Anolis sagrei: one gene and its partners. The protein of the gene in region 1 interacts with the protein of each later gene in a biochemical or structural test. Links are inferred from orthologs where the notes say so. Each region holds a gene or a part of one and is shown in the gene's direction. Other genes may lie near its edges. The genes, in order: HIF1A, USP20, MTA1 and EPO.

Evidence for each region.
Region 2: of the proteins of HIF1A (region 1) and USP20, one has a biochemical effect on the other in vitro, tested with the Homo sapiens proteins (2 studies listed by BioGRID and IntAct, with this or other methods). The link is inferred for Anolis sagrei from reciprocal best matches to the Homo sapiens genes HIF1A and USP20.
Region 3: the proteins of HIF1A (region 1) and MTA1 form a complex in vitro, tested with the Homo sapiens proteins (2 studies listed by BioGRID). The link is inferred for Anolis sagrei from reciprocal best matches to the Homo sapiens genes HIF1A and MTA1.
Region 4: the proteins of HIF1A (region 1) and EPO form a complex in vitro, tested with the Homo sapiens proteins (2 studies listed by BioGRID). The link is inferred for Anolis sagrei from reciprocal best matches to the Homo sapiens genes HIF1A and EPO.

The regions. Positions count from the first base shown.
Region 1 is NC_090021.1:332,082,717-332,090,752, reverse strand, and holds the start of HIF1A (hypoxia-inducible factor 1-alpha), read left to right. Parts: upstream 1-5,027; 5' UTR 5,028-5,190; coding exon 5,191-5,234; intron 5,235-8,036.
Region 2 is NC_090031.1:3,029,854-3,037,024, forward strand, and holds the start of USP20 (ubiquitin carboxyl-terminal hydrolase 20), read left to right. Parts: upstream 1-4,130; 5' UTR 4,131-4,433; intron 4,434-6,900; exon of another isoform or gene 6,901-6,938; intron 6,939-7,171. Other genes in the region: C11H9orf78 (splicing factor C9orf78 homolog), read right to left, coding at 170-229, 2,427-2,515.
Region 3 is NC_090024.1:132,906,133-132,913,018, reverse strand, and holds the start of MTA1 (metastasis-associated protein MTA1), read left to right. Parts: upstream 1-3,842; 5' UTR 3,843-4,036; coding exon 4,037-4,064; intron 4,065-6,886. UniProt on the Homo sapiens protein: Transcriptional coregulator which can act as both a transcriptional corepressor and coactivator. Acts as a component of the histone deacetylase NuRD complex which participates in the remodeling of chromatin.
Region 4 is NC_090026.1:2,690,877-2,698,494, forward strand, and holds the start of EPO (erythropoietin), read left to right. Parts: upstream 1-4,576; 5' UTR 4,577-4,845; coding exon 4,846-4,858; intron 4,859-7,618. UniProt on the Homo sapiens protein: Hormone involved in the regulation of erythrocyte proliferation and differentiation and the maintenance of a physiological level of circulating erythrocyte mass.

The DNA.
Region 1 (8,036 bases):
TTCCCCCAAGAGGTCCTCAGGAGCACCCCTGGGCCAAACCAACTATACTGCGAATGCTTACTTTGCGTAATGGGTTGAGCCGCCCCTGATGGTACCTTCAGTCACTTCCTGAGACCACTGTGACTCACACCAATGACTGATCAAGACCAAACTTGGCATACAGAGTCCTCATGATCCATCCTATATCCTGGTGCCATTTGGAGGAGGAAGGACCACAGACGATGGGACTTACATATGGGAGTTGGAGTTTACCTATACCCACTGAAGCCAACTGACATTGGATCCAGACTCCAACTGGAGTGCAGACAAACAATGCCTATCTCAAATAGCCTGGGCATCACTGGGTCCCCAAGCTAGTAAATAAATAAAAGGCCAAACATGCTGAAAGTTTTGGTTTTACATTTTTTTGATCAGTTCATTTATGTTCACAATGTTGGTCATGAATAGGAAATAACTATGCATATAATTAGAGAAAAAAATTGATGGGTTAACTTTACCTTTTCACTTCAAATGTTTAAAAGCAATGCTTTTGGATGAAACATGCAGAATAATCACAGGATGTCTTCAACCTACACCTGTTGATAAACTCTACAAAAGCTAGCTGGCATTGCCCCTCCTGATTTTATTTATTTATCGTGTCATCCGCAACCAGAACATTGTATTACATTTCTAACAGAACAAAACAAACAAACAGATAAAAAAACCCCACAAATTTTGCAAACTTGGTAGCTGATTAAATGTCCTTTGACCAGTATCTGGCCACTTGGAGTGCCTCTGGTGTTGCCGCAAGAAGGTCCTCCATCGTGCATGTGGCAGGGCTCAAGTTGCATTGCAGCAGGTGGTCAGTGGTTTGCTCTTCTCCACACTCGCATGTCGTGGATTCAACTTTGAGGCCCATTTCTTAAGATGGCTCTGCATCTCGTGGTGTCAGAGTGCAGTCTGTTCAGCGCCTTCCAAGTCGCCCAGTCTTCTGTGTGCCCAGGGGGGAGTCTCTCATCTGGTATCACCCACGGATTGAGGTGTTGGGTTTGAGCCTGCCACTTTTGAACTCTCGCTTGCTGAGGTGTTCCAGCGAGTGTCTCTGTAGATCTAAGAAAAGTATTTCTTGATTTAGGTTGTTGACATACTGGCTGATACCCAAACAAGGGATGAGCTGGAGATGTCTCTGCTTGGTCCTTTCACTATTGGCTGCTACTTCCCAGCGGATGTCAGGTGGTGCAATACCGGCTAAGCAGTGTAATTTCTCCAGTGGTGTAGGACGCAGACACCCTGTGATAATGCGGCATGTCTCATTAAGAGCCACATCCACTGTTTTAGTGTGGTGAGATGTGTTCCACACTGGGCATGCGTACTCAGCAGCAGAGTAGCACAGCGCAAGGGCAGATGTCTTCACTGTATCTGGTTGTGATCCCCAGGTTGTGCCAGTCAGCTTTCGTATGATATTGTTTCTAGCACCCACTTTTTGTTTGATGTTCAGGCAGTGCTTCTTGTAGGTCAGAGAACGGTCCAGAGTGACTCCCAGGTATTTGGGTGCGCTGCAATGCTCCAGTGGGATTCCTTCCCAGGTAATCCTCAGAGCTCGGGATGCCCCTCCTGATGTGTGATGGGAAGTTGCTGCTAAATGTGAGAGAAATAAGGTTGAACACTGTCCACTGTGTCCTGCCTCATGTACAGAGGAGGAATTGTTGGAGGCTACAGACAATGCCGTTGCTGTTGCTCGTTTTTGGTGAAAAGATATTTAGCCGCCTGTACGCCTTCTATTTTTTATCAGTTTTATACTAATTTATGCAATGATTTCGATACGAAATAAAATATAACCTTTTTGCTTTAAGCAGATTGGCTATTGTATTGCCTTCAACTGCCAGTTTTCTCCTGTTCTTATATTCTATGTTTATTGTATGTAAACTGCCCTGTTAAACTTTACTTTAAGATGGAATTAAATAAACAAAACCTTATCACTTAGGAGCCGTGTAATGCATATAAGGAAGTGGCAGAACCTTACGTCTAGAGGCTTTTCTGCTATGATACAAATACCTCTCTGGAATACAACAAAATATAACATCCTCAAAAGATTATTAGACAATCAAAATAAAGACAACACATCAAGCAAGCTTTTGAAGCTTCACCATCTTCCTGATAGTATAGGCATGGGCAAACTTTGGTCCTCCTGATGTTTTGGACTTTTACTCCCACAATTCCTAACATCTTAGTTTGCCCATGCATGTGATAATAGATGCATGATGGCTAGCTTACACTCTGCATGTACTCAGAGGCATTCTTGGTGCTTCATGCGGGACCAAAATAAACCCCGAGACTCAAGGCCTCCTCAGGAACTCTTGGCAAATAATGGGATGTCTTATTGATATCATCATTATTATAACACACACATATCCAGCAGACTCTCAGTTAACGAGGAATCAAGCAACTGGAGCTTTTAAGCAACCAGCAAACCCCCCCAGCAGGTATAATATGCATTTTAAAAAGTCCTGCCAAGATCCCAAGTCCAGGGTGAAACTGAGCACAATGTAGACGCCCACTCCAGCCTCAAAGACAGGCTTCCTTGACCTCCACTTATGGATGCTGCAGTTTCCAGTCAGCTTGCAACTGCATTAAATAATAAGCGTAGATGCCATTCAATACAATTTCTCAGTACTAGGCTGTTAGGAATTGTGGGAATTGAAGTGCAAAACATCTGGAGGGCCAAATGTTGCCCATGTCTGCACTAGAGCATCTATCCACTTTAAATCTGATTGCTGCCTCCTGCAGGATTTTGGAGTTTGTAGTTTAGGGAGGCCTGGGATCTCTTTATCTGAGCAGTTTAAAGGGTTACCCCCAAACTACAAACACCAGAATTCTGCAGAAGGCAGCAACCAGATTTAAAATTGATTGATTCTCCAACTCCCACAATTCCTAACAACCTACCTCTATGTATGATGAAGTCCATACAAAAGACAAGAGGAGGAGAAGAGGAAAAGAAGGGAAAGAGGAAGAGGAGGTGAAGGAGAAGAAGATGGTGGTGGTGGTGAGGAGGAGGAGCATGGAAGAAGAGGAGAAGGAAGAGAAAGGATTAAGATGAGGAGGGAGGAAGAAGAGAAGGAGGAAGGAAAAGAAAGAAGAGGAGGTGAAGTTGAGAGATCAAGGTGAAAAAGAAGAGAAGATGGGGGAAGAAGAAGAGGTGGAATGGAGGGAGTAGACAGGAACAGAAAGCAAAAAGGAGAGAAAAGGAAGGGAAAAAAGAAGAGAAGGAAAAGAGAAAATCAGAATTGAAGAGACGTGAGAAGAAAAGTTGAAGAAGAGGAGGAGCAGGGAAGAAGAAGAGAAAGTGAAGTAAGAGTAGAGGAGGACGGAGAAGAAGAGGAGACAGGAAAAAGAAGCAAGGAAAGATAAAGAAACAAGTCGACCATGTGCTCTGTTTTAAACTGTTTATTTTAAATGTATTTATATGTTACTGTTTTGATTATAATCTACTATGTATTTTATTTGTTTTTATGTGGCATTGAATGATTGGCAATTGGAAGCGGCTCTGAGTCCCCTTCGGGGTTGAGATAGAGCGAGGTAAAAAGTACAGTAAATAAATAAGGAGGGGAAGAAGAAGACGAGAAAAATAGAAGAAAGAGAAGAGGAGGAAGAAAAGGAGGAGAAAACTAAAAGGCGGAGGGGAAAGGAAGGGGAAAAAGAAGAGAAGAAAAAGAGGAAAATCAGAAGAAAAGGAGGGTGGAAGAGGATTAGTGGGCAGAAAAGGTGAAGAAGAGGGGAAGCAGGGAAGAAGAAGAGGAGAAAGAAAAGTAGAAGAGGATGGGGAAAAGAAGAGAAGGAAAGAGGATGAATGGAAGAGAAGAAAAGGACAGAAACAAGAGGAGAAAGTGAAAAAGAGGAGGAGAGATGGGGTGAAGAAAAAGAGAAACAGAAGAAAGTGAAAAGGGGGAGAAAAGGAGAAAAAAACAAAAAAGAGAAAAGGAAAGGAAAAAATGAAGAAAAAGAGGAAAATCAAAAAAAAGAGAAAGGGGAAAGGAGAAGAAGAGGAAAAGCAGGGAAGAAGAAAAGGAGAAAGAAGTATCAGGAGAAGAAGAGGATGGGGAAGAGAGGAAGGAAAGGAGAAAACGAAAAGGAGAAGAGAAAAAAGGGAAAAGAAGGGAAGGAAAATAGAATGAGAAGAGAGGAGGGTAGAAGAAGGGAGGAAGAGATAGAGAAGTAGGAGAAGGGGATGGAGAGAGAGTAAGGAAAGGAGAAAACAAAAAAGGAGAAAAGAAGAAAAGAAGGGAAAAGAAGCGAAGGAAAAGAGAGGAATGAGAAGAGAGGAGGGAAGAAGAAGGGAAGAAGAGAAAGAGAAGTAGGAGGAGAAGGGGGTGGGGAGAGAGGAAGGAAAGGAGAAAACGAAAAGGAGAAGAGAAGAAAGGAAGGGAAAAGAAGAGAAGGAAGAGAACGAGAAGAGAGGAGGGAAGAAGAAGAGAAAGAGAAGTAGGAGGAGGAGAAGAGGAATGAGTAATAAGAAGAGAAAACGAAAAAAAGAAAAAAGGGAAGAAGGGAAGAAGAAAAGAAAAGTAGTAGAAGAAGAGGATGAGAAAGAGGGGAAGGAAAGGAGAAAACGAAAAGGAGAAGAGAAGAAAGGAAGGGAAAAGAAAAGAAGGAAAATGGAGAATGAGAAGAGAGGAGGGAAGAAGAAAAAGATAAGGAGAAGTAGGGGGAAGAAGAGGATGGGGAAAAGAAGAAGAAAAGGAGAAAATGAAAAGGAGAAGAGAAGAAAGGGAAAAGAAGAGGAGGAAAAGAGGAGGGAAGAAGAAGAGAAAGAGGAGGAGAAAAAGAAGGAGAAAAGGAGAAAAGGAGGAGGAGGAGGATAAAGAGGAGGCCGCCTTCCCTTCCTGCCTTCTGCGCGCGCAACCGGCGGGGGGAGGGAGACACTCACGTGAGGCAGGCGGGCGGGGCCACGCCCCCTCCGGGCGGCGGTCCTCGCGCCGCCTCCCGATTGGCCGAGGCGGAGCTCGTGACGGGCCAGCCGGGAATAGGCCCCGCCCCCTCCCCTCCCCTCCTCCTCCTCCTCCTCAGACCGCGCTGAGAGAGAGTGAAGAGAGCCTCGCGGTGGCTGCCTTCCCTGCTTCGGCCTCCCTTTTCTGTGTCCCTCGGCCTTCCTCTCCGGCCAAGCTGGCTTCCTCGGCTTCTTCGTCCTCCGCCGACGACGGCGACGAGGCCGCCATGGAGCCCGGAGCCACCCCGGGAGGCTCCAGCGAGAAGAAAAGGTACGAAGGAGGAGAAAGATTAGGAGGCAGGCCTTGCTCTTCTCCTTCCTGTAGGAATGAATGCCTGGGGAGGAGAGAGATGGAGAGAATGGTGGAACTTCCTTCCTCTCTGTTATTGCTCCTTCTGAACTTTCTGTTTTCCTTCCTTTCTCCTTCCTTCCCTTTGTTGTTGATGATGGAGGAGAGGAGGAAGACTTCTCTTCCATTATTCCCAATTTTTCTTTCTTTCTTTGCTTTCTTTCTTCCACCTTCCTTCCTTCCCTTCATTCTCCATTCAGGCCTCTTCTAGACATCTGTAGTCCTTACCTTCATTCTCCATTCTTCTAGACATCTGTACACAATCCACATTATCTCCTTTGAACTGGATTATCTGGCAGTGTGGACCAGGCATGGGCCAACTTGGGCCCTCCAGGTGTTTTGGACTTCAACTCCCACAATTCCCAACAGCCTGTTGGGAATTGTGGGAGTTGAAGTCCAAAACACCTGGAGGGCCCAAGTTGGCCCATGCCTGGTCTACACTGCCAGATAATCCAGAATATCTGCTTTGAACTGGGTTATCTGAGCCCACACTGCCATATTTATTATTTATTTATATATTATATATTTACAACACTTATATGCCACCCTTCTCATCCCAAAGGAGACTCAGAGTGGTTTACAATACACACACACATACACAATATATTATATTATTAGCATAGTGCAAAATCAGTATTATATATTACTGTATTGTGCTATACCACTATATTGTAATACTACATGTAATACAGGGTTAGTCAAAATGAATAGGCCAATAAACACACATATACACACACATATACAATATATTATATTATTAGCATAGTACAAAATCAGTATTATATATTACTACGTCGTGCTATACCACTATATTGTAATATTACATGTAATACAAAATATGTAATTATAATATCCTATTATTATTAGTATTTATTTATTTTCAGCATTTCTACCCCCATTCCTTCTCAACCCCTGAAATGGCTAGAAGGATACTACTATATTGTAATACTATTACTAATATTAGTAATATTACATGTAATATAAAATATATAAATTATAATATCATATTATTGGTAGTAATATTGTATTATTTATTTATTTATTTATTTCCAGCATTTCTACCCCGTCCTTCTCAACCCCTGATATTAGCATAGTACAGTATCAGTATTATATATTACTATCTCATGCTATACCATTATGTTGCAATATTATTAGTAATATTACATGTAATATAAAATATGTAATTATAATATCATATTATTAGTAGTAGTATTGTTTTATTTATTTATTTCCAGCATTTCTACCCCCGTTCCTTCTCAATCCCTGAAGGGGGACTCAGGATGGCTTACAAGATATATATATGTGTGTGTGTGTGTATGGGTATATATATATACACACACACACACACACACATATATATATATATAATATTATTAGCATAATACAAAATCAGTATTATATATTACTATATTGTGCTATACCACTATATTGTAATATTATTAGTAATATTACATGTAATATAAAATATATAATTATTATATCCTATTATTCGTTGTATTATATTGTATTATTTATTTATTTCCAGCATTTCTACTTCTCAACCCCTGATATTAGCATAGTATAGTATCAGTATTATATATTGCAATATCGTGCTATACCATCATGTTGCAATATTATTAGTAATATTACATGTAATATGAAATATATAATTATTATATCCTATTATTAGTAGTAGTATTATATTGTAGTATTTATTTATTTCCAGCATTTCTATCCTGTCCTTCTCAACCCATGAAGGGGGACTCAGGATGGCTTACATTTGGCAACAATTTGATGCCATTAAATACAACAAAGCAATATAACAACAATAAAAACAGTATTAACCACCGTATCACCATTCCAGCCAAATTCCATATCCAAAGCGCTATTTATGTCTGCTGTCCAAAAACCTGGTCCCAGAACCACGACTCAATTTCTTCCTAAAAGACAGGAGGGATGAGGCCTGTCTTACCTCGTTGGGAAGCGAGTTCCACAGCTGGGGGGGGGGGGGGGGCTACAGCCGAGAAGGCCCTGTCTCTCGTCCCCGCCAGACGTATTTGCGACGCTGGCGGGAGCGAGAGCAGGGTCTCCCCGGATGATCTTAAATTGCAAGACAGGACGTATTATATTATTAGCATAGCACAGGAGACAAGGTGGACTTGTCTTCTGGTCCCTCTCTCTTCACTCTGGTCCAGAGCAGCAGTTGGTGCTGGGGGGAGGGGTCCCCAACTGATGACATATGCAGTAGACAAGATGGAACTGTCCCCTGCCCCCCTTTCACTCTGGCCCAGAGCATCAGTTGGTATATTCCAGTTCAAAGCAGAAAATGTGGAATTTTATTCAGGGCCTTTCTAGACAGGCCCTATATCCCGGGATCTGATCCCAGGTTTTCTGCTTTGAAGTGGATTATATGAGTCCGCACTGCCTCAAAAATCTGGAATAAACAGAAAACTTGGGATCAGATCCTGGGATATAGGGGCCTGTCTGGAAGGGTCCTCAGGTAATCAGTTCAAAGCAGGTCATGTTGGGTTATCTGCCTCGATATTCTGGATTATATGGCAGTGTAAAAAGGCCTTCACAATCCCAAATCAGATCTGAGCCTTTATTCCCCAGGTTCAAGTGATAACCCCCATTTCCCCCCACCAAATCCAGTTTCTTCCTTCAAAGGGCCCTTCCACACAGCCCTATATCCCAGAATATCAAGGCAGAAAATCCCACAATATCTGCTTTGAGCTCAGTTGTCTG
Region 2 (7,171 bases), on another chromosome or scaffold:
TGCTCTTGTTTTTGTATTCCTGCTCAAGTTTTACTAAGGATACCTTTTGCTTGTGGACTTATGCTGTAATTATAATTTTTTGGCAATTCCTGGATTGTGTTACCTTGGGATCGACATGAGACATTTGGGAGAAAAGTAGGATCAAAATAAAATAAAATAAAACACCGACCTGACGCCATTTGGTCTCTTCCTCAAATTCTGCACTTCTTTGGCTTCCTCCAGTTTCAACCTGAGAAGAGAGAGAGAAAAACAAAGGCTAGATTCAATCCTTTCTGCCAGAATTTCAAACGGAACGAAGCCTCTCTCTTCTTCAGGTCGATCCAGCCAAGGCTAAACTATGAATTTTAAATTGTATCCTCCCAACCCTGCTATATGCCTGCGAAACGTGGACTGTCTACAGACGTCAAACTCAACTTTTGGAATGATTCCATCAGCGTTGCCTCCGGAAAATCCTGCAAATCTCTTGGGAAGAGAGGCAGGAAAATGTCAGCATGCTGGAAGAAGCAAAGACCACCAGCATTGAAGCAATGGTCCTCTGCCATCAACTCTGCTGGACTGAATGCAACGTTAGTCTGAATGCCCAAAGATCACCATCACCCAAAGAAGTTACTATTCTTTGAACTCAAGAATGGGAAACATAATGCTGGTGGACAGCAAAAGAGATTGAAAAAGGGACTTAAAGCCAACCTTAAAAACTGTGGCAGAGACACAGAAGCCCTGGCCCTTGAGCGCTCTAGCTAGAGGTCAGCTGTGACCAGCAGTGCTGTGGAATTCGAAGAGGCATGAATTGAAGGCGAAAGGGAGAAATGTGCCATGATGAAGGCGCGTCAAGCCAACCCTGACCGGGACCGCCTTCCACCTGGAAACCGATGCTCTCACTGTGGAAGAACATGCGGGCCAAAGGCACTTACAGACCCACTGCCAAGACACTGCACTTGGAGGGCCATCATCCTCGGGTTATGAGGCAGAGGTTGAAAGACGTGTTCATGGCGTCTGCTGCTATGTCCTTTTGAGGGAGGGATTTATTATTATTATATCATATTACTATATGTAATGTATGTATGTATTATGTGTATGTATGTGGATATATGTGTATGTACGTATATGTATAGATAGAATAGAATAAAGCAAAGAATAGAATGTGTAGATAATTATTCTGTATGTATTATGTGTATGTATGTGTACGTGTATATATGTCTATGTATGTGTATATGTGCATATATATGTATGTGTATAGATAGAACAAAATAGAATACATAGATTCTTCTGTATTTATTATGTGTATGTATGTGTACATGTATATATGTCTATGTATGTGTATATGTGCATATATATCTATGTGTATAGATAGAACAAAATAGAATACATAGATTCTTCTGTATTTATTATGTGTATGTATGTGTACATGTATATATGTCTATGTATGTGTATATGTGCATATATATGTATGTGTATAGATAGAAAAAAATAGAATACATAGATTCTTCTGTATTTATTATGTGTATGTATGTATATATATATATGTGTGTGTATAGAAAGAATATAGAACGTATAGATAAGATTATTCTGTATGTATGCAATAAAACAGCAATAGGAAAGATGTCCAGGCCAATTAGATTTTACACGGATGACTAGGACGGTTTTAAATGGTGTATTTTAATATTGAGATAATTTTTTAATGTTTATGTGTGTGAATTTGTGTCCCGGCATGGAATGTTTGTTGTGTATATGCTGTGCTCCGCCCTTAGTCCCTTATATATTCCCCGAAAGGGTGAGAAGGGTGGAATACAAATGTTTTAAATAAATAAATGTATATGTATGCATGTGCATAGATAGAATATATAATAGAATGTGTAGATTATTCTGTATGTATTATGTTTATATGAATGTATATATGTTTATGTGTGTATAGAATGTGTAGATAGATTATTCTGTATGTGTACGTGTATATACGTGTATAGACAAAAAGAATATAGAATATAAAGTGTAGATTATTCTGTGTGCATTGTGTCTATATGTGTATGTATGTATATGTGTTTAGATAGAATATAGAATATGTAGATAGATTATTTGGTATGTATTTTGCGTATGAATGTATATATATCTGTGTGTGTATGAATGTGTATAGATAGAAGATAATATAGAATAGAATGTGTAGATTATTACTCTATTTCTCCTTGCAAAAAAGCGGGGGGGGGGATCATTGTATTTAATGGCATTCGAACTGCCCTGGCGACCCGCGATAGCGCTTGGGAGTTGTAGTTCTAGGGAGGCGACAGTCCCTTTAAAGCAGGGCGGGCCAATCCTTTGCGGAACTACCACTCCCATGAGCCTTCGCGGGCCCAAAATGGCGCCGAATGCTCTTCGCCACTGGAAATGGGCCTGAAGGCCGTTCACAACACCAGAAATGGAGGGGAAATACTGACCGGACTTCCCGGGTGAGGTGCTGGTCTTCCTCATCTTCCTCCTCCTCGGAATCCGCTTTCCTCCGGCGGAAACACTTCCCCGCCGGCATTGCGGAAGACAGCAATGTCCGCGGCCCCCTCCGAAGGCCCCCTCCTCGGCCTCAACCTGAAGGAAAGCGCTTTCTGACGGGCGGGAGCGTCGCGTGCAGGTGACGTCGACAACGTGCGCCGAAGCCAGTTCCGCCCTGGCTGAAGTGAGGGCAAAACAAGGATGCAGCCATTGGGCAAAACAAGCCTTTGGGGTGAATATAGAGAAGCTAGTCAGATTTTGAATACAATGCAATAAGGGTCTAAAATGCCTAAAGAAACACAGAAGCATCTGGATAATTTAAAAACTAATTGTTACTTTGGGATTTCATCTGCATTTGCATACTGTGCATACTTAATTAGATATCTTGCAGGTAGTCCCAAGCCTAGGTGCGAAATTCCAATAGGTTTCCTTACATACACAAAAATGTGAAATATCGATTGTCATGGATTTGGGGATTTCACCTACATTTGCATAAACATATCCTGTATTTGAATAATATGCATACTTAATTAGATATCTTACAGGTGGTCCCAAGCCTAGATGCGAAATTCCAATATGTTTCCTTAAGTGCACAAAAGTGTGAAATTTCGATCGTCATGGATTTGGGGATTTCAGGATTTCTCCCTCTATTTCCCAGTTGTCAATAATCTTGGGTTTTTTTATGTTTAGCTGCAACCCGGCTTTTGCGCTTTCTTCTTTCACCTTGATTAGAAGGCTCCTCAGCTCCTCCTCGCTTTCGGCCATCAGAGTGGTGTCATCTGCATATCTGGGGTTGTTAATGTTTCTTCCAGCCATTTTCACCCCAGCTTTGCATTCATCAAGCCCCGCACATCCTCGCATGATGTGTTCTGCATACACGTTAAAAAGGTTGGGGGAGAGTCTGCAGCCTTGTACGCCTTTCCCAATCTTGAACCTGTCTCCTGTTCCGTGGTCAGTTCTGACTGTTGCTACTTGGTCCTTGGTCAGATTCCTCAGGAGAGAGGGAAGGGGGCTTGGGATGCCCATCCCACCAAGAACTTGCCACCATTTATGATGATCCACACAGTCAAAGGCTTTAGAATAGTCAATGAAGCAGAAGTGGATGTTTTTCTGACACTCCCTGCCTTTCTCCATTCTCCAGCATCCGGATATTGGCAATCTGGTCTCTCGTTCCTCTGCCTTTTCTAAACCCAGCTTGAACATCTGGCAACTCTCGCTCCATGTATTGCTGGAGTCTTCCTTGCAGGATCTTGAGCATTATTATTATTATTATTATTATTATTATTATGTCAATCTTAGACCATGCAGTTCATTTAATAGATAAATAATATTATCCTATTTTCCTACCTTTTTTCTCCCATACAGCCATTGTTGTTGTTGTTGTTGTTGTGGTTGTGTCCAATTGAGAGACCATGAAGTCCAGACTCAGAGAAAAGCAGCCTGAATTTGTTTTTCCCGCCCCTTTTCCATTGGCGCCTTCCCATTGGTCCGTTCAACCTGTGTTTTGGACTTCATTTCCCAGAATTCCTATCCATTGAACAAGCTGTCAAGGCCTTCTGGGAAATGGAGTCCAGAACGCTTGAAGCCGCTTTCTCATTGTGATTCCGTCCATTGGCGTCGCGCCAAGCCGCTTGGGACTTCATTTCCCAGAATTCCCAGCCATTGAAGAAGCCGGCGAGGGTTTCTGGGAGTTGGAGTCCGGAACGTTTTGAGGGCTGAGGTTGGAGCGCCGCCACAGAGGGTTCTTCTCCTCCGCCGGCGTTCTCTTCGCCGCCTCCGGCCTTCTCTTGTCTCGGGCTTCCGAGCGGCCGCCCTTCGCGGGAGGGAAGGGCGGAGGAAGGCTATTGCTGGGCCTCAGGCCTGGGAAGCGAACCGAGGCCTAGCCGGGCGCCTAAGCACCGGCCTCGCGTAGAACGCCGCCCCGGGAAAGAGGCGCCCTCCCGGGAAGGGCCCCTCAGGTATTTTGGGGGGGGGGGGGGTTTCTACACTTATAGATTTATTTGTATTGTCTATTATATTGTGTATATCTATATATATCATTTGTTTTGCTTAATGTATTGCCTGTAGTTCATATATATGTTTGTATGTGTATTCTATACATATATATGTGTGTGTGTATTAACACAAATAAAAGTGAACAGCATATCTATATCTATATATATAAACTGCATGCAATATATTCATTCCAAATATATAAGCTGTGTGTATATATATGTTTGTGTGTGTATTCTATACATATATGTGTGTTTGTGTGTTAACACAAAGTGAACAGCATGTGTGTGTGTATGTGTATGCACACACACATACACACATATAAACTGCATGTAATGTATTCATTCCAAATATATAAGCTGTATATATATATGTGTGTGTGTTTGTTTGTTAACACAATAAAAGTGAACAGCATATATATATATATGTAATATATTCATTCCAAATATATAAGCTGTGTGTATTCTACACATATGTGTGTAAACACAAATAAGAAAACAGCATATATAAATATATATAAACTGCATGCAATATATTCATTCCAAATATATAAGCTCTCTCTCAGTGTGTATTCTATACATACATATCTATATGTGTCTGTGCTATTTATTTTTGTTTGTGCTGACAAATATATATATATATATATTCCAAATATATAAGCTGTATATATGTGTGTATATATATATATAGAGAGAGAGAGAGCACTTATATATTTGGAATTAATATATTATATGTACTTTATATATACATATATATGCTGTTCACTTATTTGTGTTTACACACATATGTATAGAATACACACAGCTTATATATTTGGAATGAATATATTGAATGCTATATATATATATATATATATATATATGAATATATGCTGTTCACGTTTATTTGTGTTAATACACACACATATAATATATTGTATATACATATAATATTTATAATATTATAATGTAATACAATAAAGCTACTAATAATACAATAGTATAATTATATATTTTATATTAAATGTAACATTACTAATAATATTACAATATAATGGTGTAGTACAATATAGGAATATATAATACTGACATTGTACTATGCTGATAATATAATATATTGTATGTATATATATCTTGTAAGCCGCTCTGAGTCCGCTTTGGGGTGAGAAGGGCGGCATATAAATGTCATAAATAAATAAATAAATATTGTTTGTACTAACATATTAGTACAATATAGTAATATATAACTGACATTGTACTATGCTAATAATATAATATATTGTATGTATGTATATCTTGTAAGCCGCTCTGAGTCCGCTTCGGGGTGAGAAGGGCGGCATATAAATGTAATAAATAAATAAATAAATAAATATTGTTTGTACTAACATATTGTATGCAATATATATAGCGCATGCACACATACACACTTATGTTTAACAACTTGCGCCACTGGAGGCTCCATATATATATATATATATATATATTTACGACATTTATATGCCGCCCTTCTCACCCGGAAGGGGACTCAGAGCAGCTTACAAGTTATATATACATACAATATATTTCATTATTACCATAGCAGAATATCAGTATTAAATATTGCTATATTGTACTATACCATTATATTGTAATATTATTAGTAATGTTACATGTAATATAAAATATATAATTATAATATCGTATTATTAGTATTATATTGTATTACATTATAACATTATAAATATTATATATATACACAATATGTTATATTATATTATATTATATTATTAGCCCAGTGCAGGAGACACAATTATTATTAGTATTATTATTACTACTATTATTTATTTATTCATGATATTTATATGCCGCCCTTCTCACCCCAAAGGGGACTCAGAGCGGCTTACAAGATATATATACATACAATATATTTCATTATTACCATAGCACAATATCAGTATTAAATATTGCTATATTGTACTATACCATTATATTGTAATATTATTAGTAATGTTACATGTAATATAAAATATATAATTAAGGGGACTCAGAGCAGCTTACAAGATATATATACATACAATATATTATATTATTAGCATAGTACAATATCAGTATTATATATTACTATATCAATATTATCTATATATATATAGTCGTGTTTATAATATCTAACCATAAATTGAAAGCAGTTTTTATGTGTGTATGTATATATATGTATGTGTGTGTGTTCTCTCTCTCTCTATCTATATATATATACACACACACACAAGACTCTTAATATTGGGAAGATGGTGGCACAAGGAGAAATGGGAAGCCAAGGGCAGAAAGGAGAGTGGCAGGGATGCTTCTGTGAGGAAAAATGATGAATAATGGCATGTTCATTTATTGGGAGGAACAATCAGCTGTTCAGTGTCACGTGACCGCTTGGAGGTTTTATTTCTGGCAGGAGGCAGGAAAATAATCGGAATCTATTCCCTACCTGAAGCTGTGCTGCGGCCTGAGATTTGCATGCTCATAGTAAGATGAAGCTCCTGATATAGAACGGATCCCCTCCCCAATTAAAAAAATATATTTTTCAAACCATGGATGGCTGAATTTGTGCTTGGGACACAGTATGGTGGGGGGGGGGGGGGGAGCATTGATTTGAGGAGTAGAATTGAATTAGCTGGGAGAGGAAATACCTTGGATGTGAATTAGGTTTGGCTTAAGAGTGTATTTAGTCATCAGTTCTGAAGTATGTACCTATATCT
Region 3 (6,886 bases), on another chromosome or scaffold:
CCCTGACTCGCAAATTGAACTGCCATCCTTCTGGTCAGCAAGATTTTCTGCAGCTGACAGTTTAACCCGCTACTTGCTGGCTGGGATGCTAGGATTTGGTAATTTAGCAACAGTGAAGTTCAATAGTACACTTGCCCAAACTTATTATTAAATAATAATTTTTAGGATCCACAATAGTATAATGGGTGGCTGCCAGAGAAAGAACTTTCTTTCTGGTGGTTCTCTTCCCATGGAATGCTCTCATGAGAAAAATTCACCAGACTTTCTCCTTGGTAGTATTTAGATGCCAAAAACATTTTAAGATTGGGCCAGATATATATAAAAATGTAAATAAATAGGTAGACATTTGGACAGAACTATAAACAGCAGACATTTGTTTTATTACAAGCAGCCCACAGGTTATTCCAGAACAGTCCGGCATGCCAAAATCCTTCACCAGCTGGTTCAAGCCAAAAAATAAACAACTCCTCTTTTGTCCATGTTGGACTGATTCTCTGAAGTGAAGCAATACCATTATGGAAAGATGGGCTGCAATTCTTAGTTGAGGACTCCACAGACACCGCTGGAGGTTCTAGAGTTCTTCCTTTCCCAATGCTTTACTGGTGTGATCACATTTTCCATAATAAGTTCCAAAAGTCTGGTGTAGCTCCAGGATCATCTGCACTTTCCTAGAGTTTACTGTAGGTCACCACAGAAGCCGTGCCTGCAATGCATTGGCTTAGCCTTGTGCCACTGTGATTTTATGTACGTAAATTCTTGTAGCATTCAGCCTAAGGAATGGGTCTGTTATGTCTAGCTAGAGACAGGTACTGAAATGAAAATCCCATGTTTTCTGTTTTGCCTATGTAGATATTTTTATCTGAAAAGTAATTTGTTCAGTAGCAAGTGTCTCATGCCACTTTATACACAAATAGAGCTACATTTCCATACATTGGAGTTGCCTGTATGGAGTATCTGTTCATTGGAAGATAGACATAGGAATATGGTGTGTGTTTGTGTGTAAAGAGTGGGACCAAATGGTAATAAAATGTAAGATTTCTGACTCAGTGATGAATGAAAGTCAAAGGGATGAGATTAATCCCTCACATCAGATGGATGAATTAGTCCCACCCTCATGGTCCCCATGAGCAGGATGGCTCTCTTTCACAGCTGTAGTAAATGCTACAGCAGAAGAGTGGCAGTTGTGGTTCCCTGAAGTAACTTCATTAGTATCTTAGTGTGAGGCTCCTGCCTACTCCGGATTTCGTTTTCAAGTGGTCCCCACAGAGCAAGTTGTCATTGCATCACTCAGAAGGGCCCAACAAGGAAAATCCCTTAGATAGCTGTAAACTAGGCTTCACATCAAGGCATCCAGTTGTTGGGCAAGTAGTGGCAATAATGGAGGGGGAATGGATGGGAGGAAATTTCCCACCTTATTCAGTATTATGCCATCGCTTGAAGTATAAATATACATAAAACAAGCATGATGATATTGTTTATATTAAAGTCCTTGTCAAAAACTACCTCTCCCATTTCAAGGCCATTTGGACCCCACTGATTGAACAGTATAAAAAGAATGGATTTAGTATCGAAGGTCCCTTCTATGCTGGCCTATATCCCAGGATGTGATCCCAGATTATCTGGCAGTGGAGATGCATATAATTGAGTTCAAAGCAGATAATCTGGGATCAGATCCTGGGATATAGGGTGGTGTAGAAAGAACCTTTGCTGCACTTTGTTTCCAAATCGCTTACTCAGAACAGTGGCTCCGAAGTTTTAAGCAAGAACAAGAAGGAAAACATGGCAAAATAACTAATTTGTAAAGTTCCTTAAAAAGAGAAACAGTTGAGGCAGGATATCTTGCCTCTTGAAGGAAATAACTGGCAGTTTCAGCCTGTACATCCTTCAGGGTACAACTTGGGAGGTTTGTCAAGAGTGAACTTGCTAGACAATAGAACTTTGCTCAAATTGTCAAATGAAGGGATATCTATTTCTAATCAGTCCATCTTTTTCATTGTATTTTTTTTAAAGACTGTAAATGTATATAGCTTTTTTTTGGAATAAACTGCAATGTAGACTACTTTATTAAATATTTTATTATATTAATGCACCACTAATAAAACTGAATTGGAAACACACCTGTTCTAAGTCTTGTTTTGGAATGAGTTATTTCACTTTCTGCTTCCTGTTCTTACCAAGCAATATTTAGGTGTCAATTAAAAGCTTTGGGATGGATGGCATATGTTCTGTATCAGAAACTATAGCTGATGTGGTCTATTCAATGTAATTTTCTGAATCAGCATCCCAAACCGAATCTAAAATTGACAAAAACTGACTCATAATGCCTACCTGCGTGACTGCATCTCTGTATACGAACCCACACGATCCCTTCGATCATCCGGAGAGGCCCTGCTCTCGATCCCACCAACATCGCAGGCGCGATTGGTGGGGACGAGAGAGAGGACCTTATCGGTGGTGGCCCCTCGACTCTGGAACTCACTCCCTAAAGACATCAGACAGGCCTAACTGGCAGTCTTCAGGAGGAGCTTGAAGACATGGCTGTTCCAGTGTGCCTTCCGGGAATAATGATCCCATAGCACTTTGTCCTCCAAAGCACCTTACATTACTTTAGGTCTGCTCGTATGCCCTTCCGCAAACACCACTATCACCTTTTCGTCCATGTCCCAGCATTATTTCTAATTTTAACTCTACATTTGGCCTTCCCACTGTTTTTAATTGTGTGTTGTCTTATTGATAATGTTGTATATTTTATTGTCTATGTTTTTATTTTAATTGCTTGTATTGTTGTTACTATTGCTTGTATTGTTGTGTTTGGGCTCGGCCTCATGTAAGCCACACCGAGTCCCTTGGGGAGATGGTAGCGGGGTACAAATAAAGTGTTATTATTATTATTATTATTATTATCCTTTTGGTACTAATGTTGGGAGAGTGGTCTCTGGTCAAAGTGGTCCCTGGTCAAAAAAAGCTTGGGAACTATTGTTATAAATGGAGATGAAATTGAGTAAGTGACTGAATATGTATATCTTGGACAACAAGTTGTTGTTGTTGTTCATTCGTTCAGTCGTCTCCGACTCTTCGTGACCTCATGGACCAGCCCACGCCAGAGCTCCCTGTTGGCCGTTACCACCCCCAGCTCCTTCAAGGTCAGTCCAGTCATTTCAAGGATGCCATCCATCCATCTTGCCCTTGGTCGGCCCCTCTTCCTTTTTCCTTCCACTTTCCCCAGCATAATTGTCTTCTCTAGGCTTTCCTGTCTCCTCATGATGTGGCCAAAGTACTTCAACTTTGTCTCTAGTATCTTTCCCTCCAGTGAGCAGTCGGGCTTTATTTCCTGGAGGATGGACTGGTTGGATCTTCTCGCGGTCCAAGGCACTCTCAGCACTTTCACAACAAGTACAGCCCTATAATTTGGCAAATGGTGAATAGGCAAGACAACCCAAGGTTCCTTGGGCGGCTTTTAATCTAAACTGGACAGTGCTAACATTTAATAATCTGCCAATGAAGGTCTGAGCAGATATACTCAACACTACAGTTCTACCGGCAATATTATATGCATCTGAAACATGAACAACAAAATTAGAGGAGGAAAACTGGTGGTGACTTAGAGCAATGGGAAGGGTGTGGGGTGACAATAAAAGAGCAAGTCAGCAACAAAGAGCTGGCTACTAGTATTAAAAATATTCCAAAGGCTTGTCCAAAGAGCCAGTTCTTCGTTGGCGGCCTCCCTTCCTCCTATTTGCAAAAGGCGCCCCACCACGCGCTTCCCGCCCTTGCTCCTTCGCCCCTCCCCTTCCAGAGCCGGAGTGCGCGCGCAGCCTGCTGGGTCTCGCGCAGCCCGGGGGCGGAGCCACGTCCGCGAGGGCAGGGGCCGAGGCTGAGGCGGCGGCGGACTGGAGGCGCCGCGCCGTTCAGGCTGCCTTGCCCTGCCCCTCCCTCCCTCCCTCTCTCCCGCATCCTCCCTCTCTGAGGGGCCGAGACAGTAGTCCTCCCCGCCGGGCCTTCCCTCCTTCCTTTCTTCCTTCCCTCCTTCTCCGGCATGGCTGCCAATATGTACCGCGTCGGAGGTAAGCTCTCCCTTCGCTCGGCATCCCTGAGGAGACTGGGCCGGGCCTGCTCCGTGAGGCATTGTCTCTGAAGCAGCGAGAAGGCGGGCTGAGGAGTGAGTGGAGCCGCCTCTGGGAAGCAGCTCGAGGCCTCCCCTCCCTCCCTCCCTCCCACCGGCCGGATGCTCCAGGAGTGAGGCTGCGCGGGGGTTCAGCCAAGACCAGGCGCCCTCCAGCTGTGGGGGTCTCCAACTCCCCGCTTGTTCGGTGGGAGTTGTAGGCCCGCGCAGTTGGAGGAGGCCTGGGCTGGAGCTTCCCAGAGGATGCCCGGCGCCTGTCACGTTTGCAGCCCTCTGTGGCCCACGCAGGCCGGTCCCTGAGCCCTTCTGTCAAAGCAAGAGGGCTGATGCCGACTGTGGAGCGCGGTCCCTTTTGTTGTTGCCAACTCTTCTTCCTCAGTAGCCGGGAAAGAGTGGCCCAAGCCCCATCTCCACTGCCTGTTTGGAACTGTATTGTTACACGACAGTGTAGGTCAGGCATGGGCAAACTTGGGACCTCCGGGTGATTTGGACTTCAATTCCCACAATTCCTAACAGCCAGAAGAAGAAGAACTTTATTTTTCTACCCTGACTCCCAGGCATGTAGCCGGGGGGGGGGGGGGGGGCTTGAAGGGCTTCAGCCCCCTCCCCCCCCCCCCCCGAAATGCTCATGGTGGTTCACGAAAAGGCCTTACTGGTGCATTATTTAAACTGTTATGTTTATTCATATCATGATCTGATCACCATACATGCATGGGGGTATTGGGGTAATGATACAAAAGGTTTGCTAGCGTAGGCCCTCTTTCACTCAGACTCAGCCCCCCCCCCCCCAAATCAAAATCCTGGCTACGGGCCTGCCACCTCCTTTCTTACTTAGGTGATCCCTCGTTTTCCGAGGAGGATTGTCTCCCAATATTCTTGTGGGTCCGTATGTGGCTGTGGAGCTCTATTCTTGCTCTGCAACTTCTTTCGCAGTGAGGGCATTGGTTTCCAGGTGGAAGGGGGTCTTGGTCGGGGTTGGCTTGACGTGCCTTCCTCTTGGCACGCTTCTCCCTTTCACCCTCCATTCGTGCCTCTTCAAATTCTGCAGCATTGCTGGTCACAGCTGACCTCCAGCTGGAGTGGTCAAGGGCCAGGGCTTCCCAGTTCTCAGTGTCTATGCCAGAGTTTTTAAGGTTGGCTTTGAGCCTGTAGGACTGAAGACCGACAGGTCGCAAGTTCAAATCCGGGGCAGGCGGATGAGCTCCCTTCTAACAGCTCCAGCTCTTCATGCAAGGACATGAGAGAAGCCTCCCACAAGGATGATAAAAACATCAAATCATCCAGGCGTCCCCTGGGCAACATCCTTGCAGACGGCCAATTCTCTCACACCAGAAGCAACTTGCAGTTTCTCAAGTCGCTCCTGACACAACAAAAAAGAGAGAGAGAGAGAGAGAGAGAAGCCTCCCACAAGGATGATAAAAACATCAAATCATCCGGCCACCCCCTGAGCAACATCCTTGCAGACGGCCAATTCTCTCACACCAGAAGCAACTTGCAGTTTCTCAAGTTGCTCCTGACACGACAAAAAATAATGAGAGAAGCCTCCCACAAGGATGATAAAACATCAAAAATCATCCAGGCGTCCCCTGGGCAACATCCTTACAGACGGCCAATTCTCTCACACCAGAAGCAACTTGCAGTTTCTCAAGTCGCTCCTGACACGACAAAAAAAAAAAAAACTCCCTGAAGGGACTCGGGGCGGCTTACATGGGGCCCAAGCCCAGGCAGAGTACAATTAAAATAAAGCAATAACAATTAAAACCCCAGCAACGTGTCCCAGAAGCACTTTACTAGAGACTTAAGATTGTTCGCACATTGCACTTACCGAAAAATCCTTATATTTCAACTGTCATACTCAGCACTTTTAATCTGTACCCATCTACACTTGGCCCGGCCTTAGTTTTATTGTGCTACGGTGTAATGTTTTTACTGTTTACTGTTATTGCTTAATGTTTTCATTTGTTTTATGGTTTATGTGTATTGTTGTATTGTTGTTTTATTGAGGCCTTGGCCTTTGTAAGCCACATCGAGTCCTTCGGGAGATGCTAGCGGGGTACAAATAAAGTTAATAATAATAATAATAATAATAATAATAATAATAAAACAGCATAAAACAACATAACAAAAATAGCTAGCAACAACAATAACAGCAGACTAATTTTGGGGAGAGGAAAACCACTACGTGAACTAGATAAAGGATAAAGTGGTTTAGTAAGGTAGATGACAATGTATGAAGGCATAGGAAAAATCATGGAAACAGAGCAAATTAACAGTATCAGTTAATATAATATAGGACATCAAATTGAATGACAGTTCAAGTCATAATAAAGTGGGAGTTGAAGTCCAAAACACCTGGAGGGCCCAAGTTTGCCCTAGTGTAGATGGAGCCTCAGTATTTATCACTGTGCTTTGTCTGGAGTGCCATATTTTACATACAGGTGGGGGGGGGGAGTATTTAGTCAGATACCAATTGTACAAGTTCTCCCACTTAAAAAGATGAGAGAGGCCTGTAATTGACATCATCAACTATGAGAGACAGCATGAGAAAACATCCAGAAAATCACACTGTCTGATTTTTGACGAATGTATTTGCAAATTGTGGTGGAAAATAAGTATTTGGTCCATAACAAAAGTTCATCTCAATACTTTGTTATATATCCTTTATTGGCAATGACAGAGGTCAGATGTTTTCTGGAAGTCCTCATAAGTTTGGCGCATACTGTTGTTGGTATGTTAGCCCATTCCTCCATGCAGATCTCCTCA
Region 4 (7,618 bases), on another chromosome or scaffold:
CGGATATTTTCCCCAAAGCCTGTGAAACCCAAACTCTGCAGAGTCCCTTTCCTTGGTGGTCAGCGCACCAGCTGCCCCTTCGAAGTGCGCAAGAGCCACACCGGATATTTTCCCCAAAGCCTGTGAAACCCAAACTCTGCAGAGTCCCTTTCCTTGGTGGTCAGCGCACCAGCTGCCCCTTCGAAGTGCGCAAGAGCCACACCGGATATTTTCCCCAAAGCCTGTGAAACCCAAACTCTGCAGAGTCCCTTTCCTTGGTGGTCAGCGCACCAGCTGCCCCTTCGAAGTGCGCAAGAGCCACACCGGATATTTTCCCCAAAGCCTGTGAAACCCAAACTCTGCAGAGTCCCTTTCCTTGGTGGTCAGCGCACCAGCTGCCCCTTCGAAGTGCGCAAGAGCCACACCGGATATTTTCCCCAAAGCCTGTGAAACCCAAACTCTGCAGAGTCCCTTTCCTTGGTGGTCAGCGCACCAGCTGCCCCTTCGAAGTGCGCAAGAGCCACACCGGATATTTTCCCCAAAGCCTGTGAAACCCAAACTCTGCAGAGTCCCTTTCCTTGGTGGTCAGCGCACCAGCTGCCCCTTCGAAGTGCGCAAGAGCCACACCGGATATTTTCCCCAAAGCCTGTGAAACCCAAACTCTGCAGAGTCCCTTTCCTTGGTGGTCACTCCCTGAGACCGGTCAGTGCCAGCCCCTGGCTTAGCAGTCCAAGCCAATCTTGGCAATGTCCAGGGTTGTGTCCGGAACACACAGCACCGGATGCGGAGCCAAACCTTGGCTGGTATTGACCCTTCGATAAGGCAGAGAGGGTCAAAGGACACGAGAGTTGGGGAGGGAGGGAGGGAAGGAGGGAGATGCTTCCGCCAACATCCCAAATAGGAAAGAACCACAAAGCCATAGATGCACAGAATTGGAACATGCTTTGTCTCCTTGCTTAATTTTGGATGAGAGGCGCACCCCAAGCACTCAGTGCGAATCCAGGGAGGGACTGGGAGTTCTGCCATGTTTACTGCTGGAAAGGGGAGGGTGCAAGGAGGCACCTCTCCAGTGGCAACGTCCCAACCTTTCCTGGATCCCACATCAATCGATGGCAGAAGCAAAGGCATCCTTCCCCTGCAGCATTTGGCAAAGGGAATGAGGTCAGATCTGGCCCATCTATATGACCTCTGGAGACCCCTTTGCTAAGGTTTCACAGCTTGGTGGGCATCCTTCCCCTGTTTGTTGTTGTTCATTCATTCAGTCGTCTCCAACTCTTCGTGACCTCATGGACCAGCCCACACCAGAGCTCCCTGTCGGCCGTCACCACCCCCAGCTCCTTCAAGGTCAGTCCAGTCACTTCAAGGATGCCGTCCATCCATCTTGCCCTTGGTCGGCCCCTCTTCCTTTTGCCTTCCACTTTCCCCAGCATCATTCCCTTCTCTAGGCTTTGCTGTCTCCTCATGATGTGGCCAAAGGACTTCCGCTTTGTCTCTAGTCTCCTTCCCTCCAGTGAGCAGTCGGGCTTCATTTCCTGGAGGATGGACTGGTTGGATCTTCTCGCAGTCCAAGGCACTCTCAGAACTTTCCTCCAACACCACAGCTCAAAAGCATCTCTCTTCTTTCGCTCAGCCTTCCCGAAGGTCCAGCTCTCACATCCGGAGGTGACTACAGGGAAGACCATGGCTTGGACTAGGCAATGGATCTTGGTTGCCAGTCTGATGTCTCTACTCTTGACTATTTTATCGAGACTGGACATTGCTCTCCTCCCAAGAAGGAAGCGTCTCCTGATTTCATGGCCACAGTCCGCATCTGCAGTCATCTTTGCGCCTAGAAATACAACGTCCGTCACGGCCTCCACCTTTTCTCCCTCTATTTCCCAGTTGTCAATCATTCTTGTTGCCATAATCTTGGTTTTTTTGACGTTGAGCTGCAACCCGGCTTTTGCGCTTTCTTCTTTCACCTTGATGAGAAGGCTCCTCAGCTCCTCCTCGCTTTCGGCCATCAGAGTGGTGTCATCTGCATATCTGAGGTTGTTAATGTTTCTTCCAGCAATTTTCACCCAGCTTTGCATTCCTCAAACCCCGCACATCCTCGCATGATGTGTTCTGCATACACGTTAAAAAGGTTGGGTGAGAGGATGCAGCCTTGCCGGACGCCTTTCCCAATCTTGAACCCATCTCCTGTTCCGTGGTCAGTTCTGACTGTTGCTACTTGGTCCTTGTACAGATTCCTCAGGAGAGAGGGAAGGGGGCTTGGGATGCCCATCCCACGAAAAACTTGCCACAATTTATTATGATCCACACAGTCAAAGGCTTTAGAATAGTCAATGAAACAGAAATAGATGTTTTTCTGACACTCCCTGCCTTTCTCCATTATCCTTCCCCTGTAGTGTTTGGCAAAGGGAATGAGATCAGATCTGGCCCATCTATATGACCTCTGAAGACCCCTTTGCTAAGGTTTCACAGCTTGGTGGGCATCCTTCCCCTGCAGCATTTGGCAAAGGGAATGAGGTCAGATCTTGCCCGTCTATATGACATCTGGAGACCCCTTTGTCAAGGTTTCACAGCTTGGTGGGCATCCTTCCCCTGCAGCATTGTGGGGTCTCCAGAGGTAAGATCTGGCCTGTCTATATGACCTCTGGAGATCCCACAAATGTCAGTATTCATCATTTGAAGGGTGGGCACTGGATGGGACACAAAGGGACCAAAGCATCATTCCTTTGCAGCATTCGGGCAAAAGGCTCCAAGCTCAGATCTGACCTGTCTATATGACCTCTGGAGACCCCATGAATGTCAGAATTCATCCTTTAAAGGGGGGTGGCAGCATTGGATAGGCGACAAAGGGATCGAGGCATCTTTCCTTGCAGCATTTAGGCAAAGGGTCCAAGCTCAGTTCAGGTCCCTCTATATGACCTCTGGAGACCCCATGCATGTCGGAATTTATCCTTTAAAGCGGGGGTGGGCATTGAATAGGGCACAAAGGAATTGAGGCATCTTTCCTTGCAGCATTCGGGCAAAAGGGTCCAAGATCAGATCTGGTCCATCTATATGACCTCTCAAGACCCCATTAATGTCAGAATTGATCATTTAAAGGGTGGGCATTGGATAGCGCAGTGGGTTAAAGCACCGAGCTGCTGAATTTGCTGACCAAAAGGTTGCAGGTTCGAATCTGGGGTGAGCTCCTGCTGTTAGCCCCAGCTTCTGCCAACCTAGCAGTTCAAAAATATGCAAATGTGAGTAGATCAATAGGTACCGCTTTGGTGGGAAGGTAATGGCACTCCATGCAGTCCTGCCAGTGGCCACATGACCTTGGAGGTGTCTACGGACAACGCCGGTTCTTCAGCTGAGAAATAGAGATGGGCTCCAACCCCCAAATTCGGACACGACTGGACTTAATGTCAAGGGGAAAAACTTTACCTTACCTATTGGATGGGACACAAAGGGACCGAGGCATCTTTCCTTGTAGCATTTGGCAAAAGGTTCCAAACTCAGATCAGGTCTGTCTAGATGACCTCTGAAGACCCCACAAATGTCAGAATTCATCAGTTTTGGTTGGACCCCCATTAAACTAGATTCAGTGGCTGCAAAGAGAGCCGAACACAATTGATTCAGTGGTTCCAGATGTGACTGGAAATGGTGATTTATAGTTCTGACCGAGAGGCACAAGTCCAAAGGGCCACCTGGGGCCGCAGGAGGGTACAACCAAATTGTGAGAATTTGCCGGTCATCCCCCACCCCCTCTTGGTGTGATGTCCATTCCAGGTGGCTTTGCTGTGGCCAAACCCAGAGGAAGTGACCGTTCCTCCCCAGAGCCCCCTTTTGGCCGCAACAACCGGTGTCCGCACTCTCTGCCTTTGGCCGGCTGCCAGGAGGCTGACCTTTCCCACCTTCGCGCCTGGACCTGTGGCTGGCTGGACTCCGGCCAGAGAGCGCCGACGTGCCTCCTGTGGCATGGGCCACTCTCTCGCAGGCGCTGGGGCTTGATCCGGCGCAGGTTTCATCACCATCAATATTATGATTTTGGTGATGATGAGGAGGAGGGTTGCCATGCCCACCGGCTCAAGCCTGGAGTTTCCGGCCTGGAGAGAATAACTGTCCCTCTGGCTGAGGTCCGGCCCAGAGCCATTCCTCTGCAGGGAAGGGCCGGCCGGAGTCAGTCCTCTTTGGACCGCTGCAAAAGGACACCGGGTGAAACATTAACCGCCTCTCGTGCCGCTACGCAGCTCCTGGGGTCTGCCGTGGAAAGACCAGGGGGTCGCCACAGAAGGAAAATATCACCGATATGCTGGGATCCCAAACTGGTGGCTGAGGGGCGAGACTGGTTTGGAGCGGCCTGCAATCCAAAGTGGACATCTGAGCCCAGAAGACTCACCTGGACATCGTCAGTCTCACCTAGCCGCCAGAGGAGAGCTCCCTTTGGCCAGAGCGCTGGACATCCGAGTGGCTCCTCTGAAGACTCACCTGGAGGCGTGGACTGTGGCTGAGGACACCTGGAGACTGACCTCTGACCTCTTCACCTGGACTTTGAGTGGCCTGGAGAGACGAACGCTCCCAAAGAAGAGGGACATCTCAACTGCCGGACGATTCCGTGGACGAAGGCACCTGGAGACACATTGCTAAGGTTCTGAGAAATCCCTCGAGAGCAACGGCCAGCCCTTTGGCTCCTTTTGGCCAGACCGCTGGACGTTCCCGTGACCGCTCCATGGACTCACCTGGAAGCCTGCATCGTAGTTGAGGGTCCCCATGGACTTGGAGTGACACCGAAGGCAGCCCCCCAACTCATTTTGGACCCGCAGCAGTGGAAGCCCATGGCTAGCCATGGGGCAGGAGGGGTCCGCTAGTCGCTAAGGCCATGCGCTTTCGGCTATGGGGATACCTGGTGAGTCGCCGTCCCGGCCAAGGGGCAGCTCCAGCAACCATCGATCGATCCATACATCGATCGGGGTTGGGTTGGGTTGGGTTGGGTGGCTGCCAAGGGGATTGGCAAGCTGGGCTCCGGCAGGGAGCCAAGGGGGGCACAGGGCACCGGAGCCAGCTTTCTATGTTCTCCATGTTCTCTGTTGTTGTATGTTCTCACCTTGGCTCCGGAGGGCAGAGAAAGGGGTCTTGGTTCTGGTCCGGAGAACTGGCCATTGAATCAAGGCATGGACCAAGCCTCAGCTTACTTCCGACTCTAGGATTCTGTGATGGTCATCTGTCGGGAGGGATTTGATGGTGTCTTCCTTTACAGCAGAAGGGGGTTGGACTAGATGACCTTTGGGAGTCTCTCCCAACCTTAGGGTTCTATGATTCAGAGGCTGGGTACACATCTGTCGGGAGGGATTTGATGGTGTCTTTCTTTACAGCAGAAGGGGGTTGGACTAGATGACCTTTGGGAGTCTCTCCCAACCCTAGGGTTCTATGATTCAGAGGCTGGGTACACATCTGTCGGAAGGGATTAGATAGTGTCTTCCTTTACTGCAGAATGAGGTTTGACTAGATGACCTTTGGGAGTCTCTCCCAACTCTAGCATTCCAAGATTCAGAGGCTGGATGGCCATCTGTTGGGAGGGATTAGATGATGTTTTCCTTTACAGCAGAAGGGGTTCGACTAGATAACCTTTGGATGTCTCTCCCAAATCTAAGATTCTGTGACTCAGAGGTTTGATGGCCATCTGTCGGGAGGGATTCAATGGTGCCTTCCTTTATTGCAGAATGGGGTTGGAGTGGATGGACTTGGGGTCTCTTCCAACTCTAGCATTGGATTATTCAGAGGCTGGATAGCCATCTGTCAGGAGGTATTAGATGGTGTCTTCCTTGACGATCGAAGGGGGTTCGACTAGATGACCTTTAGGAGTCTCTCACAACTCTAGCATTCAATGATTCAGAGGCTGGATGGCCATCTGTGATGAGAGATTAGATGGTGTTTCCCTCTACAGCAGAGTCTCTCCAAGCTCTAAGATTCTGTAATTCAGAGGCTGGTTGGCCATCTGTTGAGAGGGATTCAATGGTGTCTTCCTTCATGGCAGAAGGGGATTGGACTGGATAGCCCACAGTGTCTCTTCGGTCTCTAGCTTTTGGTGATTCAGTCTGGATGGCCATCTGTCAGGAGGGATTAGATGGTGTCTTCCTTTATGGCAGAAGGGGTTCAACTAGATGACCTTTGGGAGACTCTCCCAACTCTAAGATGTACAATTCAGAGGCTGGATGGCCATCTGTCAGGAGAGGTTCAATGGTGTCTTCCTTTTTGGCAGAAGGGGGTTGGACTGGAGGGACCTTGGGTTCTCTTCCAACTCAAGCATTCGATGATTCAGAGGGTAGATGGCCATCTGTCAGGAGATATTAGATGGTGTTGGACTGGAGGGACCTTGGGTTCTCTTCCAACTCAAGCATTTGATGATTCAGAGGATGGATGGCCATCTGTCAGGAGATATTAGATGATGTTGGACTGGAGGAACCTTGGGTTCTCTTCCAACTCAAGCATTTGATGATTCAGAGGCTGGATGGCCATCTTTCAGGAGGGATTAGATGGTGTTGGACTGGAGGGACCTTGGGTTCTCTTCCAACTCAAGCATTTGATGATTCAGAGGGTGGATGGCCATCTTCCAGGAGGGATTAGATGGTGTTGGACTGGAGGGACCTTGTGTTCTTTTCCAACTCAAGCATTCGATGATTTAAAGGGTAGATGGCTATCTATCAGGAGATATTAGATGATGTTGGACTGGAGGGACCTTGGGTTCTCTTCCAACTCAAGCATTTGATGATTCAGAGGCTGGGTGGCCATCTTTCAGGAGGGATTAGATGGTGTTGGACTGGACGGACCTTGGGTTCTCTTCCAACTCAAGCATTCGATGATTCAGAGGCTGGATGGCCATCTTTCAGGAGGGATTAGATGGTGTTGGACTGGCTGGACCTTGGAGTCTCTTCCAAATCTAGGAGTCTATGATTCTATGCAGTCCTCCAAAATTTCTATTCTCAATCTAGGAAAGAAGAAGGATTGTGGCAAGGACTGGAAATAGTCACTGTGTTCAGACTACAGCTCCCAGAATCCCCAGGCCAAATGTGGGAGTTGTTGAGGAAATAAACTGGAACTTTATCAATTTATATAGCTCTAAAGACCAGGAGTCTTATATACAAGACATCTCATTACGGACATTGATGCGAATCCAAAACATTTTGGATAAGGCTGACCCAATCCTCCCAGGGTTGGGGATGCTGGGTGCTGTAGTCCCAAAGCAAACGTTGTTTCCCAGGCTGTCCGGCCTGTTTTTGCCCTTCAAGGGCCTGGAGAGAAACTTGGTGAGTTAAAGTGTGAAGGACTGGAGATAGCGATAAGCCTCCTTGTCAACACCAGAGGCTCAGGAACTCGGCACATGCGAAAGCAGCTGGGATGGAATTTGGAACGGCATCCCTCTGCGCCAAAGGGAAGCATGCGAATGGAAGCAGGAGATCCAATCGAGCAGGGAAGCCACCCCCAAAGTCTTGAAGACTGTACCCAAGTGACACATTTGCACTTGGGCCCTCCCTCCAGGTGTTTTGGACTCCAACTCCCACCATTCCTAACATAGAATCATAGAATCCTAGAATCAAAGAGTTGGAAGAGACCTCCTGGGCCATCCAGTCCAACCCCATTCTGCCAAGAAGCAGGAATATTGCATTCA